Saccharomyces cerevisiae S288C: one gene and its partners. Changing the gene in region 2 together with the main gene of any one other region gives a genetic interaction. Each region holds a gene or a part of one and is shown on either strand. Other genes may lie near its edges.

The links.
Region 1: mutations in AHP1 (region 2) and PRX1 impair growth when combined (synthetic growth defect), as found in Saccharomyces cerevisiae (one study listed by BioGRID).
Region 3: mutations in AHP1 (region 2) and HYR1 are lethal when combined (synthetic lethality), as found in Saccharomyces cerevisiae (2 studies listed by BioGRID, with this or other methods).

Annotation. Positions count from the first base shown.
Region 1 is NC_001134.8:98,139-104,095, reverse strand, and holds PRX1 (thioredoxin peroxidase PRX1), read left to right. Parts: upstream 1-2,939; coding exon 2,940-3,725; downstream 3,726-5,957. Other genes in the region: KIP1 (Kip1p), read right to left, coding at 1-2,210; SEF1 (Sef1p), read left to right, coding at 3,981-5,957. UniProt on the Saccharomyces cerevisiae protein: Thiol-specific peroxidase that catalyzes the reduction of hydrogen peroxide and organic hydroperoxides to water and alcohols, respectively.
Region 2 is NC_001144.5:365,408-371,109, reverse strand, and holds AHP1 (thioredoxin peroxidase AHP1), read right to left. Parts: upstream 2,330-5,702; coding exon 1,799-2,329; downstream 1-1,798. Other genes in the region: YLR112W (uncharacterized protein), read right to left, coding at 1-319; YLR111W (uncharacterized protein), read right to left, coding at 387-719; CCW12 (Ccw12p), read left to right, coding at 1,012-1,413; YLR108C (uncharacterized protein), read left to right, coding at 2,986-4,443. UniProt on the Saccharomyces cerevisiae protein: Thiol-specific peroxidase that catalyzes the reduction of hydrogen peroxide and organic hydroperoxides to water and alcohols, respectively.
Region 3 is NC_001141.2:419,583-425,245, forward strand, and holds HYR1 (peroxiredoxin HYR1), read left to right. Parts: upstream 1-3,545; coding exon 3,546-4,037; downstream 4,038-5,663. Other genes in the region: LYS1 (saccharopine dehydrogenase (NAD+, L-lysine-forming)), read right to left, coding at 33-1,154; NRE1 (sepiapterin reductase family protein), read right to left, coding at 1,444-2,208; sepiapterin reductase family protein IRC24, read right to left, coding at 2,492-3,283; GTT1 (bifunctional glutathione transferase/peroxidase), read right to left, coding at 4,227-4,931. UniProt on the Saccharomyces cerevisiae protein: Involved in oxidative stress response and redox homeostasis. Functions as a sensor and transducer of hydroperoxide stress.

The DNA of each region.
Region 1 (5,957 bases), on a different chromosome or scaffold from region 2:
TTGAATTGGTTAGAAATCCTGCGCTCATTGATCAGATCGTTTTTCAGTTTTTTTATTTCTAAATCTTGCTCTTTAATTAATTTCGATGATCCTGACTGCTGGTTTTCTATTAAAACATTCATACTATTCAAGTTAGTGGTGCAATTTTGCGATATTTCGTTTATGGAAGTTAGAATTGAACTGCCTATCGAATCAAGACAGCTTTTAATATCGTTTTGTAAATTTTTTAGAAATTGTTGATGTGATTGGTAGATTTCATTCAAATCTTTACGATAGTGAGAAGTAGAATCACTCTGAAATATTTCCAATGAAGTCGAAATACTACGCACCAGTTCGTTCATCTGATTCATCAATAAGTTAGTAGTAATGTTTAATAACGATTTGAGAGTAGAATCGTGTTTCGCCTTATGGGTATTTACGTTCCTGGTTAGTTCTTCGGTGACGCCTTTGATAACTTCGGAACATTTAGAGTTATAATTATTTAAAGAGCCCTGTAAAGTGTTCAAAGTCTGTAAAACTTGTTGAGAGATTTTTAATTGCATGTTCTGGTTCGTATTATACTGTTTTTGAGAATTTTCTAGTGAAAAATCTCTCTGTTGTATGACTTCATTCATTAGTTCGAGATTAGTATGGTGAATTTTTTGGATTTCCGAGTAAAAGTTAGAAAAATCGACATTAAAATTCTGTATTATGGCAATTAGTTTTTCCTTTTCAGACTGTAAAAGATTATTGATATCTAATTGGTTCAGGTAGTTTTCTTTGAATTTTTTAATTTGTTCTCGCAGGTTATGTATTTTTAGATTTTGCTCATCAATCAAGATAGAATTGCTCTCGTAAAGGTCCAACTGATCTTGAGTTATAAATATACCTTGTTTGTTTCTTGAATTTTTCAAATCATTTCTTAATTTTTCAATCTCTTGAATGTAGTCTTTGAGACATGTATCCTTCGATAAAGACTGATTTACTTGTGGAGTATTCTTAATTGATTTGGCTCTCGTTGCATATTCTAGCGTACTTGCAGTCTCTTCCATGGATATTTTCGCAGGTGATATAGTTGCGATAATGCATGTTTTCGTCATACCACCTAAAGAGTCTTGTAGCAATCTTGTTAGCTTAGATTCTCTGTAAGGTATATGGTTAGAATGATCAACGAGTGCGTTGATAACACGGCCTAGTGTTAGCAGCGATTTGTTTATTAGGCCAGCTTCTTGAGCCCTTTTATTCTCCGCACCCGATCTGTTGATGTTTTCACTGCCTGCCAAATCCACCAAATTCAATTTGCCAATTTTAACAAAATTTTTGTTTTGTCCATGGTCTTTGCTATCTTGCTCAACTATGTTTGTTGTGATTGTAAAGACGGTGTGAGACCTTGATGAAAGATCGTTGCATTTAGTAGCGGCCACTTTCCTTTTTAACGAACCCTGCATTAGCAAATTCAAGCCTTCGTGTGCAGAGTTAATAAAGATTTCCTGCATCCCCTTGACCATGATGGATGAATTATTGTTGTTATTGTCAAAAATACGAATCTGCCTCTTGGGATCGTTGACTGCAGGATCATCGTCCTCACTATCAGAGAGCAGATCTTTCAAATTTTCATTGTACAACTCTAAAAAGGATATTTTTACGGAGTACTCTTTATTTAAGGAGCTCAATTCTTTAAACAAATCGACCAGAACCCGTGGTATGATACCTGCATGCTCTCCTAATAATAGATTATCGGTAGATTGCACATCACCGAGAATATTTATATCGCCAGACATAGTGTAGGTTTTACCTGTTCCCGTTTGACCGTATGCAAATATTGTACAATTGTACCCGTGCAACATTTCCTTAATGTAGTTTTTTGCAGTGGCATTAAACACTGTTTCCTGGTCAGATTCTGCGCCGAACACCTGATCAAATTGGTAAGTTTTCTTCGAGGACGAATACGATTGGTGAGAACCGTTGGACAGAATGATTTCTTTCCCTTGTGGGCCTAGTGTAGATATAACTACACTACTTTTTTCCTCTATTTCTCGCTTATTACGCGATCTGCACCTTACATATACATGTATATTGGAGTCTGAAGTGGCAGCACCATTGTTACAGGTGGGCGGCGTTAGAGTGTGCATCCCATTTGAAAGACTTGGAGATGGAGCATGTGCAATGGTCCTCCTCTTGTTCGCTTCGAACTGGGCGGTGCGGCGGTTGGGCAAGGAAGAACGAGCCATGATTGTTTAACTATCTCGCCATATTTAGTGAGGGAAGCGCGAACTGTCGTTGATTGTTTATGTGTTTATTTTATGTTTATCGTTCTTAGAGGGTGGCGCGCACTGTGCGCGCATATGTGGGCCATACGCAGACATATATAAAGAACTAAGAAAAGGTGAAATGGGACTCTACGATGGCGCTAATGGTAAGGTCTCTTTTCTATTTGCCTAATTCAGATACAATATATAATTGCCAACCTCAAAGAAGAAGAATTATGGGCATATTGACCTTCTCCGGTTTCCCTCCCGCGCTCTCGTATCCGTCTGCATTTGACCTCGAGCAAGCGCTCCACTATGTCTATATGTTTACCAGTAAAACTTCTTAACGTTTGTGATATTTTTTGAACTTCAACCACATTCAGTATGCGTGTGTATATAAAGATATTCCTGATAGCACTATGTTTATCTTTATACAATATACAAAAGGTCACCCAGGACGAGCAGCGCGGCTATTTTTCTATCATTCCGTGAATAGCGACCAACGGTCGGCGGCTATTTTTTTTTTTGCAATTTTTTCGGGATGGGTTCCCCGGCAAAAGCTAGCCCCGGAGATTTTTAATTACGTAAAGAAACAAGGGGCCGGATGTTGCTGCTATTGGTATATAAAGAGAGAAGGAGAGATATAGAAAATTGTGCTTCTAGATTCTCGCAGTAGGATGAGATAAATTTCAAAGAAGCAGGAAGCAAAGGATGTTTAGTAGAATTTGTAGCGCTCAATTAAAGAGGACGGCATGGACCCTTCCTAAGCAGGCTCACTTGCAATCACAGACGATTAAAACATTTGCCACAGCACCTATTCTGTGCAAACAATTCAAACAAAGTGATCAACCAAGACTAAGAATAAACTCTGATGCTCCTAACTTTGATGCTGACACAACGGTTGGTAAAATCAATTTTTACGACTACTTGGGCGACTCTTGGGGGGTCTTGTTTTCTCACCCAGCAGATTTCACCCCTGTCTGCACCACCGAAGTCAGCGCATTCGCCAAATTGAAGCCGGAATTCGACAAGAGAAATGTTAAATTGATCGGGCTTTCAGTGGAAGATGTTGAGTCCCACGAAAAATGGATTCAAGACATCAAGGAAATAGCAAAGGTTAAAAATGTTGGTTTCCCAATAATTGGTGACACTTTTAGAAACGTGGCATTCCTATATGATATGGTAGATGCCGAAGGATTCAAAAATATCAATGATGGGTCACTGAAGACCGTGAGGTCTGTTTTCGTCATCGATCCCAAGAAGAAGATTAGACTGATTTTTACCTACCCTTCCACCGTCGGAAGAAACACTTCTGAAGTGTTAAGGGTAATCGACGCCTTGCAATTGACTGACAAGGAGGGCGTAGTAACTCCAATTAATTGGCAGCCAGCTGACGATGTCATTATTCCTCCCTCTGTCTCCAATGATGAGGCGAAGGCTAAATTTGGTCAATTTAATGAAATTAAACCCTATTTAAGATTCACCAAGTCGAAATAAGCTTTGAAATAAACGACTTTACTATATACAGGTATATGAAGTATCTCTAACTAAAACTTTTATCTATCTTTCATTCTTATTATATCTCATCTCGTACGAAGGGCCGCTCATTGGATCATTTTTCTTTACATACCGTAAAGGAATGGCGTTAAAAATATATATATGAAAATGCATGTAATAAACTCTCTGCAGAAACCTTAATGTCAAAGGTCCCGTATACAGATTATATTGGCTCTGCGTATACGCATTCTCGTCATGGTGAAGGATAATCGAGATTCTGACCAAGACCAAGATTTTAGTTCTGCTCACATGAAAAGACAACCGGAGCAGCAACAGTTGCAACAGCACCAGTTCCCAAGTAAGAAACAACGAATATCTCACCATGATGACAGTCATCAAATCAACCATAGACCAGTTACCTCATGTACACATTGTAGACAGCACAAAATCAAATGCGATGCTAGTCAAAATTTCCCTCATCCTTGCTCCAGATGCGAAAAAATTGGTCTCCACTGTGAAATCAATCCTCAATTCAGGCCTAAGAAGGGCTCACAGTTGCAACTACTGAGACAAGATGTGGATGAAATCAAATCTAAACTCGATACTCTTCTGGCCAATGACAGCGTTTTCGTTCATCTTTTACAACAGATTCCCATGGGCAATAGCCTTTTGAATAAGCTCAATCTGCATCCAACTCCAACTCCGGGTACTATTATCCCTAACCCAGATTCTTCTCCTTCCTCAGGTTCTCCAACTTCTTCCGCGGCTCAACGAGATTCTAAGGTTTCAGTTCAAACTTATTTGTCCAGGGAACCCCAACTCTTACAAGCAAATCAGGGCAGCAATACGAATAAATTTAAAGCAAATAATGAAGCATCTTCTCACATGACGTTGCGCGCATCTTCTTTAGCGCAAGATTCGAAAGGCTTGGTTGCAACAGAGCCAAATAAGCTGCCCCCGCTGCTAAATGACTCAGCATTGCCTAATAATTCAAAAGAATCTTTACCTCCTGCTTTGCAAATGGCTTTTTATAAGAACAACTCTGCAGGTAACACTCCGAACGGCCCCTTCTCTCCAATTCAAAAAACATATTCCCCTCATACTACGTCGACCACCGTTACAACGACAACAAATCAACCACCATTTGCAGCAACAAGCCACGTAGCAACAAATAACAATGCAGATAGGACGAAGACGCCGGTAGTAGCCACCACCACGACTATGCCATTATTGCCTTCGCCGCATGCAAATGTAGATGAGTTTGTACTGGGCGATATTAGTATTTCCATTGAAAAAGCGAATAGATTACACCATATTTTCGTGACTAGGTATCTGCCGTATTTTCCTATTATGTATTCCAATAACGCCACCGAATTATACTCCCAATCTCAGTTGCTTTTCTGGACCGTGATGTTGACGGCATGTCTGTCTGATCCTGAACCGACGATGTATTGCAAGCTAAGCTCTTTGATCAAGCAACTTGCCATAGAGACCTGCTGGATAAGAACACCTAGATCCACACATATTTCGCAAGCTTTGTTAATATTGTGCATTTGGCCTTTGCCTAACCAAAAAGTCCTAGATGATTGTTCTTACCGTTTTGTAGGATTAGCAAAGTCACTGTCTTATCAATTAGGTTTGCACAGAGGTGAATTCATTTCTGAATTCACAAGAACTCAAACATCAATGCCAAATGCAGAAAAGTGGAGAACTAGGACTTGGCTGGGAATATTTTTTGCCGAACTTTGTTGGGCGAGTATCCTTGGTTTGCCACCAACTTCACAGACAGACTATTTATTAGAAAAAGCCTTATCCTGTGGTGACGAAGAATCAGAAGAAGATAACAATGACAGTATTGACAATAACAACAATGATAAAAGGAACAAGAAAGACGAGCCGCACGTTGAAAGTAAATACAAACTACCGGGCAGTTTTAGAAGATTGCTCAGCCTGGCGAATTTCCAAGCAAAATTGTCTCATATCATTGGTTCTTCCACTTCCAGTCCTGATGGTTTATTGGAACCAAAGTATCGTGCTGAGACACTGTCCATCTTGGGAAAAGAGTTAGATTTATTAGCAAAAACTTTAAATTTCCAGAGTGACGATACTGTCAACATTTATTTTCTTTATGTTAAATTAACTGTCTGTTGTTTTGCATTCCTACCCGAAACACCTCCTACCGATCAAATTCCATATGTCACAGAGGCCTATCTAACAGCTACTAAAATTGTC
Region 2 (5,702 bases):
ATTGTCTTTTAAACCAGGGCAAAGCAAAATAAAAGAAACTTAATACGTTATGCCGTAATGAAGGGCTACCAAAAACGATAATCTCAACTGTAAACAGGTACAATGCGGACCCTTTTGCCACAAAACATACATCATTCATTGCCGGAAAAAGAAAGAAGTGAAGACAGCAGTGCAGCCAGCCATGTTGCGCCAATCTAATTATAGATGCTGGTGCCCTGAGGATGTATCTGGAGCCAGCCATGGCATCATGCGCTACCGCCGGATGTAAAATCCGACACGCAAAAGAAAACCTTCGAGGTTGCGCACTTCGCCCACCCATGAACCACACGGTTAGTCCAAAAGGGGCAGTTCAGATTCCAGATGCGGGAATTAGCTTGCTGCCACCCTCACCTCACTAACGCTGCGGTGTGCGGATACTTCATGCTATTTATAGACGCGCGTGTCGGAATCAGCACGCGCAAGAACCAAATGGGAAAATCGGAATGGGTCCAGAACTGCTTTGAGTGCTGGCTATTGGCGTCTGATTTCCGTTTTGGGAATCCTTTGCCGCGCGCCCCTCTCAAAACTCCGCACAAGTCCCAGAAAGCGGGAAAGAAATAAAACGCCACCAAAAAAAAAAAAATAAAAGCCAATCCTCGAAGCGTGGGTGGTAGGCCCTGGATTATCCCGTACAAGTATTTCTCAGGAGTAAAAAAACCGTTTGTTTTGGAATTCCCCATTTCGCGGCCACCTACGCCGCTATCTTTGCAACAACTATCTGCGATAACTCAGCAAATTTTGCATATTCGTGTTGCAGTATTGCGATAATGGGAGTCTTACTTCCAACATAACGGCAGAAAGAAATGTGAGAAAATTTTGCATCCTTTGCCTCCGTTCAAGTATATAAAGTCGGCATGCTTGATAATCTTTCTTTCCATCCTACATTGTTCTAATTATTCTTATTCTCCTTTATTCTTTCCTAACATACCAAGAAATTAATCTTCTGTCATTCGCTTAAACACTATATCAATAATGCAATTTTCTACTGTCGCTTCTATCGCCGCTGTCGCCGCTGTCGCTTCTGCCGCTGCTAACGTTACCACTGCTACTGTCAGCCAAGAATCTACCACTTTGGTCACCATCACTTCTTGTGAAGACCACGTCTGTTCTGAAACTGTCTCCCCAGCTTTGGTTTCCACCGCTACCGTCACCGTCGATGACGTTATCACTCAATACACCACCTGGTGCCCATTGACCACTGAAGCCCCAAAGAACGGTACTTCTACTGCTGCTCCAGTTACCTCTACTGAAGCTCCAAAGAACACCACCTCTGCTGCTCCAACTCACTCTGTCACCTCTTACACTGGTGCTGCTGCTAAGGCTTTGCCAGCTGCTGGTGCTTTGTTGGCTGGTGCCGCTGCTTTGTTGTTGTAAACTTAGTTTATTATTATTTATACATTCTAAATTTTTTATAAACTTTTTTGGCATTTAACAAATATATAACAATTGGGATTTAGTAGAAATTCTTTTAATTTCTTCTTTTTTTTTTTAATCTATATTTATTCTTTTTCTTTAATTTTGTTCGAAACGCATATAATGTTTTTATTGATTTTGTTTCAGGTTCCTGAACCTCGCGGAGTTCCTATTTTACTGTTGTTTTTTTTCAAAACACAGGGGTACCTTGAAGTATACGCAGTGCCTCTTAGCCAAGGATAATATAAACACACTAGAACAAAAAAAAAATACTCCTTGTACAGAATCGTTTTCTATTTTGAATTTTTTTTATATAAACATGGTTTTATTGTCTATTACATAGCATCTACAAATGAGCCAAGACACTTTCGACTGAGGAAACGGTCACATCGGTACCTGGGTTGGTTTCCTTGGCAGCGTAAGTAACGATACCGTTTTCAACAACCATGGCCCATCTACCACTCCAGTAAACACCGTCACCGACGGCTAATTCGAAACCAATGGATTTGGTGAAAGCACAGCCTGGGTCGGAGGCAAACTTGATGTGTGTGGTGTCCTTAACACCTAAACTCTTAGCCCACGCTTGGTTAGCGAACGGGTTGTCAACAGTAACAACGATCACTTGGTCAACTTCCTTTTCCTTAACTAATTCATCCAAGTAGTTGATGTAACCTGGAATATGGCTGACAGTACAGGTTGGGGAGAAAGCAGCTGGAGCACCGGTAATGATAACCTTCTTGTTTTCAGAAATTAATTTGGACCATTCAACTGTTTGTGGCATCTTACAAGATTCACTGTCAGCATCACTTTGGCTGATAGCAATGTATTGGAATTTGTAGTCGCCAGCTGGGAATTTCTTGTTAACTAAGTCAGACATGTTTTGTTGTGGTTATTGGTAGTACTTGTGTTGTTCTGGTTTGTTGAAATTTCGTTATAAAGAAACGGTATATGCACAATTGGCAAGGGAGAGGAAATTGTGCTCCTTTATATAATGTTTCGTTTATGCTTTTCCCTTACATCTCGTCCTTAATTTTCCACCCCTTTATTTTTCATTTAACCTCTCAACAATATGTGAATACCGTCCGGAAGGGGTGTGGAAAAAGAAAAAGAATGATACAGAAGAAAATCAAAAGATGATATTCAACTTCATCACCAAATACTGACCTTTTTGGCCAGAGCTCCCCGTATAATTACAAATCAGAAAAAATCCGCGCTCACTACCTTAACGGAAGGAAATATTCCACATGTCGGATTAATTTTTCTCTGGTCCCATGACCATGTGCCGAAATCTTTTCAGTGACGTCAGGACCGGTTTTTCCGAGAGCCCCACAGGGGACGCCGATGATTTAGGGTTCTTTTCTTGATTACTAATAGACAACATAAGCGCAATAGATCGAGGCCAAGGTGGTGGTTTATAAATTGTATTACCTTAAAGGCTCATTATTAGCTTGAACACGAATATCCAAAGAACACGAACAACTTCAGGACGTGGATAGACAAGTGTAAAGTCACTCACACGCACGCTCATATCAGATGTCTGGCCAAAAGGGCGAGATCGTGGTTTATACAAAAGAGTTAGAAACTACCCCCGAGCTTTTACCAAACCATGAAGTTTTCAAGATTAGGATTGGCCAAAAGCTATTTGAGATCTCAGGTGCTACATTGAATTCGGATGCGCCCAATTTTTTCACCCAATTCTTCAATACGCACGATAAAAATACGATTCTATTTGTTGATAGATCGGAAGACGTGTTCATCATAATATACAGACATTTACAAGGTTATTTTCCCGATATTAAGAACGAAGTACAATTTACCTGTCTTTTCGCGGACGCATTATATTTTCAGTTACCCAAGTTAGTTAAACTCATAAAAGAATACGACTACCACTTCACTAATATTGGAGGTGTTCCCTTTAAGGTACCAAAATCATTATTCCATGAAGAAGGGAACCGGTTGAACTATTTTGAAACGATTTCTCGCATATCTTATGAGGAAATTGAGAAGTGGGAGTCAAATAAGAAGCCGGGCTTTCCACCTTTATTACCACCCTCATATATTGCAAGGTCCCCAGAATTTTTCCGAGATATATTATCTTTACTGGGCGGTTCCAAATTAGAACTGTCTGAGGAAAGAACCGCATCTCTGATAAAAGAGTGTCGTTATTACCGTCTCAACAGGTTGGAGCAGGAATTAGTGCGGGCAAAAATTATATATAATCCCTTAACTAATTGTCAAGAAGTTTGCATAGCTCTTGATAGCGTCTCCAAGAAGGGTGTAACCATTGAAAGGTTAACATCACTTCATACCGGAAACCAATCTTTAGCGGTAAGCAGTTGTCTCAATGGAACTGAGGGTGAAAAAGCCGCTACTGGATTTCATAAAACCGAGACTGATTCAGGCAACAATGATGAATATGAACCTCCAACAAAAAAGGTAAAACATTGTATTGAAAGACACTGGAGCATGTTAAAATACCAAAGGCCTTATATCGATACAGTTTCGCACGATCTTATTTTCCAATTACACTCTAACCAGTGCAAAATAATATTCAACAAAAAGAATAAGACTGTTCATGTAGACCTATCCAGAGAGGCTGCAGTGTTGTTTGAAAACAAGTTCTCGGATGTTTTATTGGAAAACCCAGATTTTAAAATTGATCTGTCCGAATATAAGGTCAAACTTCGTGACAGTCAAATGCAAGTTGAATCCCACTTAATTATTCCTGCATGTGTCTCCATTTGTGACTTGACGGTAAATGGCGCAAAATGCTGTAATATTTTCTCATTAGTTAACGACTCCAAATGTAAAGGGAGGGTCTTGGATTGCACCAATTTGAAAGTTTTGAATTGCGTTCATGGTTTGAAACTACACTTATCGAAATCCATGTGGAAGCTAGGTACAAATAATGGAAGAATCATTCTCGTTGCTGTAAAAGCCGAAACCTTCTCTGGGACGAAGGAATATTGCAAAATGATTGATTTTCTGTGAAATCTTCAATAAAAAAACCTTTCTCTTCTGTTTGACATATATAATTTAAATGGATCGTTCAGAGTATGATCGTACCATTGCATAGCTGTAACAATATTCACATTCATAAAGCACATAAGTACTAATAGCATTCTTACGCACTAAAATGAATCACGCGGTCTTCTATGTTCAACCGATAGCAAAGGCTTAGGTTCGAACGCGAGACAATTTTCTATTCGAGATGTTAGTTATCTATATCATACAGGAAGATAAAGATACACTGCTGTACGCTGGGTATCTTCAAATGTACAAGTCACGATACTTCACTCGATGATAAAAAAAAAACGAAATAAATCTCTTTGTAAAACGGTTCATCCTTATGCAGGGGAACTGCTGATCATCTCTGTATTGTTTCAAATTGACCAAATGTCCACGAAGGGTTACTTCGCGAACACATAGTTGCGAAAAAAACATTTATTTATAGTAGCCGAAAATAGTGGACGAAATACTTTTACCACTGTTCATGCCAGGCTGTGTTGAAACTGTTGCAATGAAACTCTAAAGTATCATCGATTCAGTAGTATTCATGCTACTGGTATAGTATCACATGAGGTCCAGGAAGATGACATAAAAATTGAGAAACAGTCATTAAGTCTAATGGAAGCTGAAATGCAAGGATTGATAATGTAATAGGATAATGAATTATATAAAACTAAAAGAGGAATAATCTCAATACTATTATGTAGAAATATATCGATTCCATTGTGAGCATTCCTATATCCTCGGAGAGAACATTTAGTATCTTCTATATACCTAATATTATTGCGTTTACGAACAATGGAATCCCAACAATTATCAAGTTATTCCCCCAATTCTCAGACAGTCATGGTAGCAATATAAATTCTGAAATTATATTGTGTACAAATATACGTATAGCATTTATTAGTGCTGGAGATTATAAATAACAGAACTATTATGGAGAATTATCGATCATACTTTACCGTTTAGATGTTTTATGTTGTCTTTTAATGCCGCATGCAATACTTTTTTAGATTAAACTTAAAATTAACTTGTTCTGGTAATTACTGACGGATAACAGGTACTTCTTTAAATAGGATTATGGTGCTTCAGCTATCATCAAGTTTGGTACATCCTGAACCCAATTTCACGATATTTTAATATTCAGATATTGAAAAGGTGCATTATTATTGTTCGCTTAAATACAGAAAATAGGAAAGCAATACGAAATCATTACTTTTATCATGTTGTTTCTTAACGTA
Region 3 (5,663 bases), on a different chromosome or scaffold from region 2:
CGTAACGATAATGTATATACTTTAAATGTAAACTACAATCTTGAAGATCTTTTAACACGAGCGCAATGTCTATCGAACAATTTCTTGGCTCTAACCCAGACAGGAGCAGTTTTTCTTTGAGGTAGGAGCTCTAAAGATGGTAAGAGATCATGAGAGAAAAATTCTGAAGCTTCTCTTGGCAGCAAAGAAGGCAAGTGATCAATAGAGATGACAGATAATTTAGGCCCGGCAGTGGTAGGTACCAGAACGGTAGGTTTGTTAAACACAGTAGCCACAGTGTATATTGGGATGGGGTTGTGAGGGTTGGTAGTGTCTGCTGATACGTCCACCACGGTCCTTAGTCTTCTGTTAGGATTATTCAGTTTCTCCATGTTAGTGAAAGGAGCAATTGGCTTCGATAGATATATACAATTGATAAAAATATCAGCTTGTGGAATTTCGTCAAAGGGACCACCACGGGAAGTTTCTTTGATATCCCATTTTAATATGTTAGCATCTGGAATACCAACTTTGTGCAACAGATCGATGGCACCGGAACCACATCTTCCTAGCGCACCAATGATTAACACGGTTGGCTTTCTGGCTCCGGTGGCTAAGGCTTCTTTATAATCTTTGGTAACATCTTTAACCAATGCCTTTTCATTGGGGTAAGGCGACACTGCAGGCAAGTCTTCATCGTCAGAATGCGTTTGCTTGAATGCCCAGTCTCTTACACCAAGGGCTGCACCTGCGAACCCAGCGTAAAATCCAAAGGCAGCAACTCTTCTACCTTGGTCATTTTCCAAAAATTCCAAATCATATAGAGTACCGTGTCCCTTAATAAATCTCATAAGGACATTTTGCCACCCAGCTTGGTCTTTGTAGCAGTGAGCAAACTGGATGTGTTCGTGGACTAGAGGGAAAGTATCGGTTTCAGGCATTTCCTTCAAACCTATAATGATTCTGTCGCGTGGAGCGGTTTTCCATGAACCTGCAGGCACTATAATGGCACCTGCTTGACGATATTCGTTAATATTGAAAGTAGATTGTGGACTGTCCTCTACATATATTTTGAAGCCCTTAGCTATCAGTTTTTTAACCGTGGTAGGTGTTAAGGCAGCACGTGCCTCTAGGGGTTTAGTTTCAGCTCTTAGATGTAATGTGACGGCAGCCATTTTTGCGGTTGTGTGAAAAATAAAGCGTTTTCGTTGTTATCTTATGGTATGCCTCCTAAAATACCAGTTTCCGTCAGGGAAGATGGGCTTTTTATATATTTCATCGTGGTTTCTCGAGGATGACTTTATGACTCTTTGTCGCTGAAATCGCAGGGGAATTTTGGCGGTTGAGAGCGGAATTCCAAATTCCGCTGGAAAAAAAAAATAATAATGCAAAATGTATAAATGTATAAGAGTCTTTTTTGACTCATCGACTTAGTATGTAACAATTTATATGTACCTGCTATCCTCAAGGCATAAAGTCCGCCAAGGCAGGGTCATTATAGCTCAAGTACTGTCCATTAACACCGTCAGGAATACCATGAAGGGCCAATTTGGCATAAACTGTAGCTGGCACAGAGCTATCCAGCAACTGGTTATTCTCCTTTAAACCTCTAAACATCTTCAATTGCTCTGCACTCATGGAGGAAGGCCCCACGTTCTCCCTAATGTTAACTTGCATATCTGTGTCCACAATACCTGGGGCGACGGCAATGGCTTTCACTTGCCTTTCCTCGTTGGCCAGAGTCATGGCGAAGTGGTTCAGAGCGGCTTTTGAAGAACCGTAAGCTCCCCAACTGCTGAAGTACATGTTACAGGCGTCCGAACTGACGAATACCACGTTACCGTTGGTCTTCTTCAATTCAGGTAACGCAATGCCAACCAAGGAAACAATGCTGAAGAAGTTGATGTCATACAGCTTCTTCCAAGCGTTGACATCAATCTCGTTGACATTTTGCACGGGCTCTAGGACACCAGCGTTGGCAACCAAGGAGTCGATCTTGCCGTGGCCCTTAACAGCAGCGTTAACCAACTGCTTCAACACGGAATCCTCGGTAATATCACCGACAACGTAAAAAAACCTGTCGCCATACTTCTCTTTCAACTTCTTCAAGGGTGCCTCAGACCTGGCTACACCGTAAACAACCGTGTCCTTGTCCAAACTGAAAAGAACATCCACGATGGACTTACCGATACCTCTGGAAACACCTGTAACTAAAATAACTTTACCCATGTTTTTTTAACCTGTTACACGCTGTAGTTAGACCCTTTTTTTTAGGTACAATATTCTTCCATTGCACTTGATCTTTTTCGTTTACGTATATATATGCAAAAGTTAATGTTCATACTGTCTTCTCTTCATTTCTTTGAAAACACCGCGGAATTCCTTCGGTGATACATTCAATCCGGTTCTTGGCACAGAAATGGCCGCACAAAACTGTCGCTCATCGCAAACCCAATAAAAGTTTAGTAGCTAAAAACTATAACTATACCCTTTTACATAATATAGTTTAGTACTAGCCCTGCACCGGCCCCAGTCGCTCATCGTTGTAGCGGAGATATTGACCGTTCAAAGAGTCGGGAATACCTTTCAGGACGAGTTGCGCTAGTACCGCCGCAGGCACCTTTGGGTCCAGCAGTGACGAAGTCTTGTACAATTGAGTAAACCTCTCGAGAGCCTTGGGTGTCATGCCCTGAGGACCCAATGTTTCCCTAATATCTTTCTGCATCTGCGTGTCAACGACGCCCGGTGCAATACACACGGCACGCACTTTATCACTGGGCTCTTCACTGGCAATGTCCATGGCAAAGTGGTTTAATGCGGCTTTCGAGCAGCCGTACGCCGACCATCCGTTATATGGTTTCACACTGGCTCCAGAGCTGACGAAGACAATGTTGCCTACAAATGGCGAGCTCTTCAAGAGGGGTAAACACAGTGCCACCAAAGAGACAATGCTGAAAAAGTTCACATCGAACAGCCGTTCCCACTGCTTGATGTCGTGTTCGGAGTTGGACTGGGAGATGGACTTCACCGGTTCTAGCATCCCCGCATTTGCGACAATACCGTCCAGTTTTCCATGCTTTTGCCGGATTTCCTCCACCAACGCTTCCATTCGAGACCTGTCCGTGATGTCGAGGACACGATAGACAAATTTGTCTGCACCGTATTCTCTTTGCAAAGACTGCAGACCAGCTTCCGTTCTTGCTACGCCGTAGACGATGCATTCATCGTCCTCTTCGATAACAGTTTTCACCAATTGCAGGCCAATCCCACGGGAGGCACCTGTAATCAAAATAACCTTGCCCATATCCCTTCTTTGACAGATTATAAGTTGTTTCTCTTGTTGCTGTTCGCGACAGCCCTTATTTCCTGTATTCCTTCTTCTTTTTCTGCATTATCGTTTTTAGCCACTTTACGAAAAAGGTCAAAAAGTGAAAAAAAGAGGGAAAAAACCATGAGGAACAGTATGCTCCCTTAATATCGGAAAAGCAATAGTAATAAAAACAGCATCAGAGCTTTCCACGTCTCTCTCTTCCAAGCTGTCATCTCGTAAAGTATTCAAGTTTATCATGTCAGAATTCTATAAGCTAGCACCTGTTGACAAGAAAGGCCAACCATTCCCCTTCGACCAATTAAAGGGAAAAGTGGTGCTTATCGTTAATGTTGCCTCCAAATGTGGATTCACTCCTCAATACAAAGAACTAGAGGCCTTGTACAAACGTTATAAGGACGAAGGATTTACCATCATCGGGTTCCCATGCAACCAGTTTGGCCACCAAGAACCTGGCTCTGATGAAGAAATTGCCCAGTTCTGCCAACTGAACTATGGCGTGACTTTCCCCATTATGAAAAAAATTGACGTTAATGGTGGCAATGAGGACCCTGTTTACAAGTTTTTGAAGAGCCAAAAATCCGGTATGTTGGGCTTGAGAGGTATCAAATGGAATTTTGAAAAATTCTTAGTCGATAAAAAGGGTAAAGTGTACGAAAGATACTCTTCACTAACCAAACCTTCTTCGTTGTCCGAAACCATCGAAGAACTTTTGAAAGAGGTGGAATAGGCAGGTCTTCTTCTTTTGAAGTTAGGTAAAGCTTAGTTTTCTTTTATATTTCCTGATAATACATACTCGCTAGTCAAACCTGTCAATTATTATGTGTCGCAACAGACTATATACGTATACATACATATGTATTGAAGTGTGTGAACGAATTACGCGGCTGCTAGTGCCGTACGAACGCAACAAAACGGTTTAGAAATTGCTACCTAAAGCACGCGCCTTTTCCTTAGAAGCAGCATACGACTCCTCTGAGGTTATGGTCTTTAACCATTTGGAAATGGCAGGATAATCCTCTGGTGCGGCAAACTTTCTTTCAAACGCCATCTGCAAAGGGAAAGACATCAAGATATCGGCACCGCTCAACTTCCCATCAACCAGGTAGCCGTTATTTTTGGAAATTTCACCCTCCACAAAGTCGAACTGGTTCTTAACTTCACCACTAGAGTATGCCTGACTGATCTTGTCTGCCACTTTTCTTGCCAAGTACGAAATAGGGAAGGGCATACCAGAATCCTTCACCTTTGAAAGAATGAACTCAATCATTAAAGGTGGTTGCAAGGAACCTTCTACATAAAACAGATAATAGTTAATCTGGTCTGCAATATCAGCATCTTCGCTCATTAAAACGTGTGAATGATCAAAATGCTGCAAGACATATTGGAAGATGAAACCGGACTCGGCAAGTATCTTCTTCTTACCAGTTTCTCTGTCTTGAACTTCTAACAATGGAGATCTTCCTAATGGGTGAATTTTCTTTAATTCTGGTGGAGCACGGAAGTTAGCATCTCTTTTATAAGGGACAATTTCATATTCAAGGTTCAAATGGTCTAATAACCACAAAAGTCTGAACGCTCTGGAATGGTCCAACCAATGGACTTTGATAATTGGCAACGACATAATGCTTCCTTGATTTACCTTTTCCCTCTCATTTTAGGTTGTTGTAAAAAATATCAACGATCGTTTTATATATAAGGATTCTGCCATAGTATTTCAACGTTATCCACTTCCCCTAAATTTTCACCATACTGGAGCGAGCGGGTACGAGGTGAAAATCATTAGTAAATGGCCGTAGCATGAAAAGTGCGATTGTCATAGTAACAAGGAGGGGCTTATCCTTGGCTATTGCGAGGCACCCCCTCTGTTGCTAACGGAGGTTGTAACTGCCGGTGGTGGTTTTCCTATTAGGCTAGCCTTGGCATACAGATCACCCTTAGGGCCCACTTTGGTGTGAGCTTGAGGTGCTTAACTTTGTCAATACAAGACGGGCTGGGCTAAGCCTTGTAAAAATCCTCATTTGAGCAATGTACTAGTTATAAGCGCAATAGGTGTTTTTTGGACACCCTGTTTCCGTAATATGTCCTCCCCCAAGGGAGCTTACACTCTTGAGTAAAGTCTTCTTCAAAAAAGTAAGGTCAAACCCCGAAACTGAACGCCATGCATTTCCCCCAGCCAGATGTATGTTACTATCAAAGATCTTATCCATGCAATGTCAAGTTACCGTATAGAACCGATGACGCACTGCTCCGTGCCCATGAACTGCATTTTACCGACGGTATTTGGCTAAAGAAGAGAGGAGCTGATTCAATACAAACTGTTCGTAAACAATTACGATTCTAAGGATACTAGAAG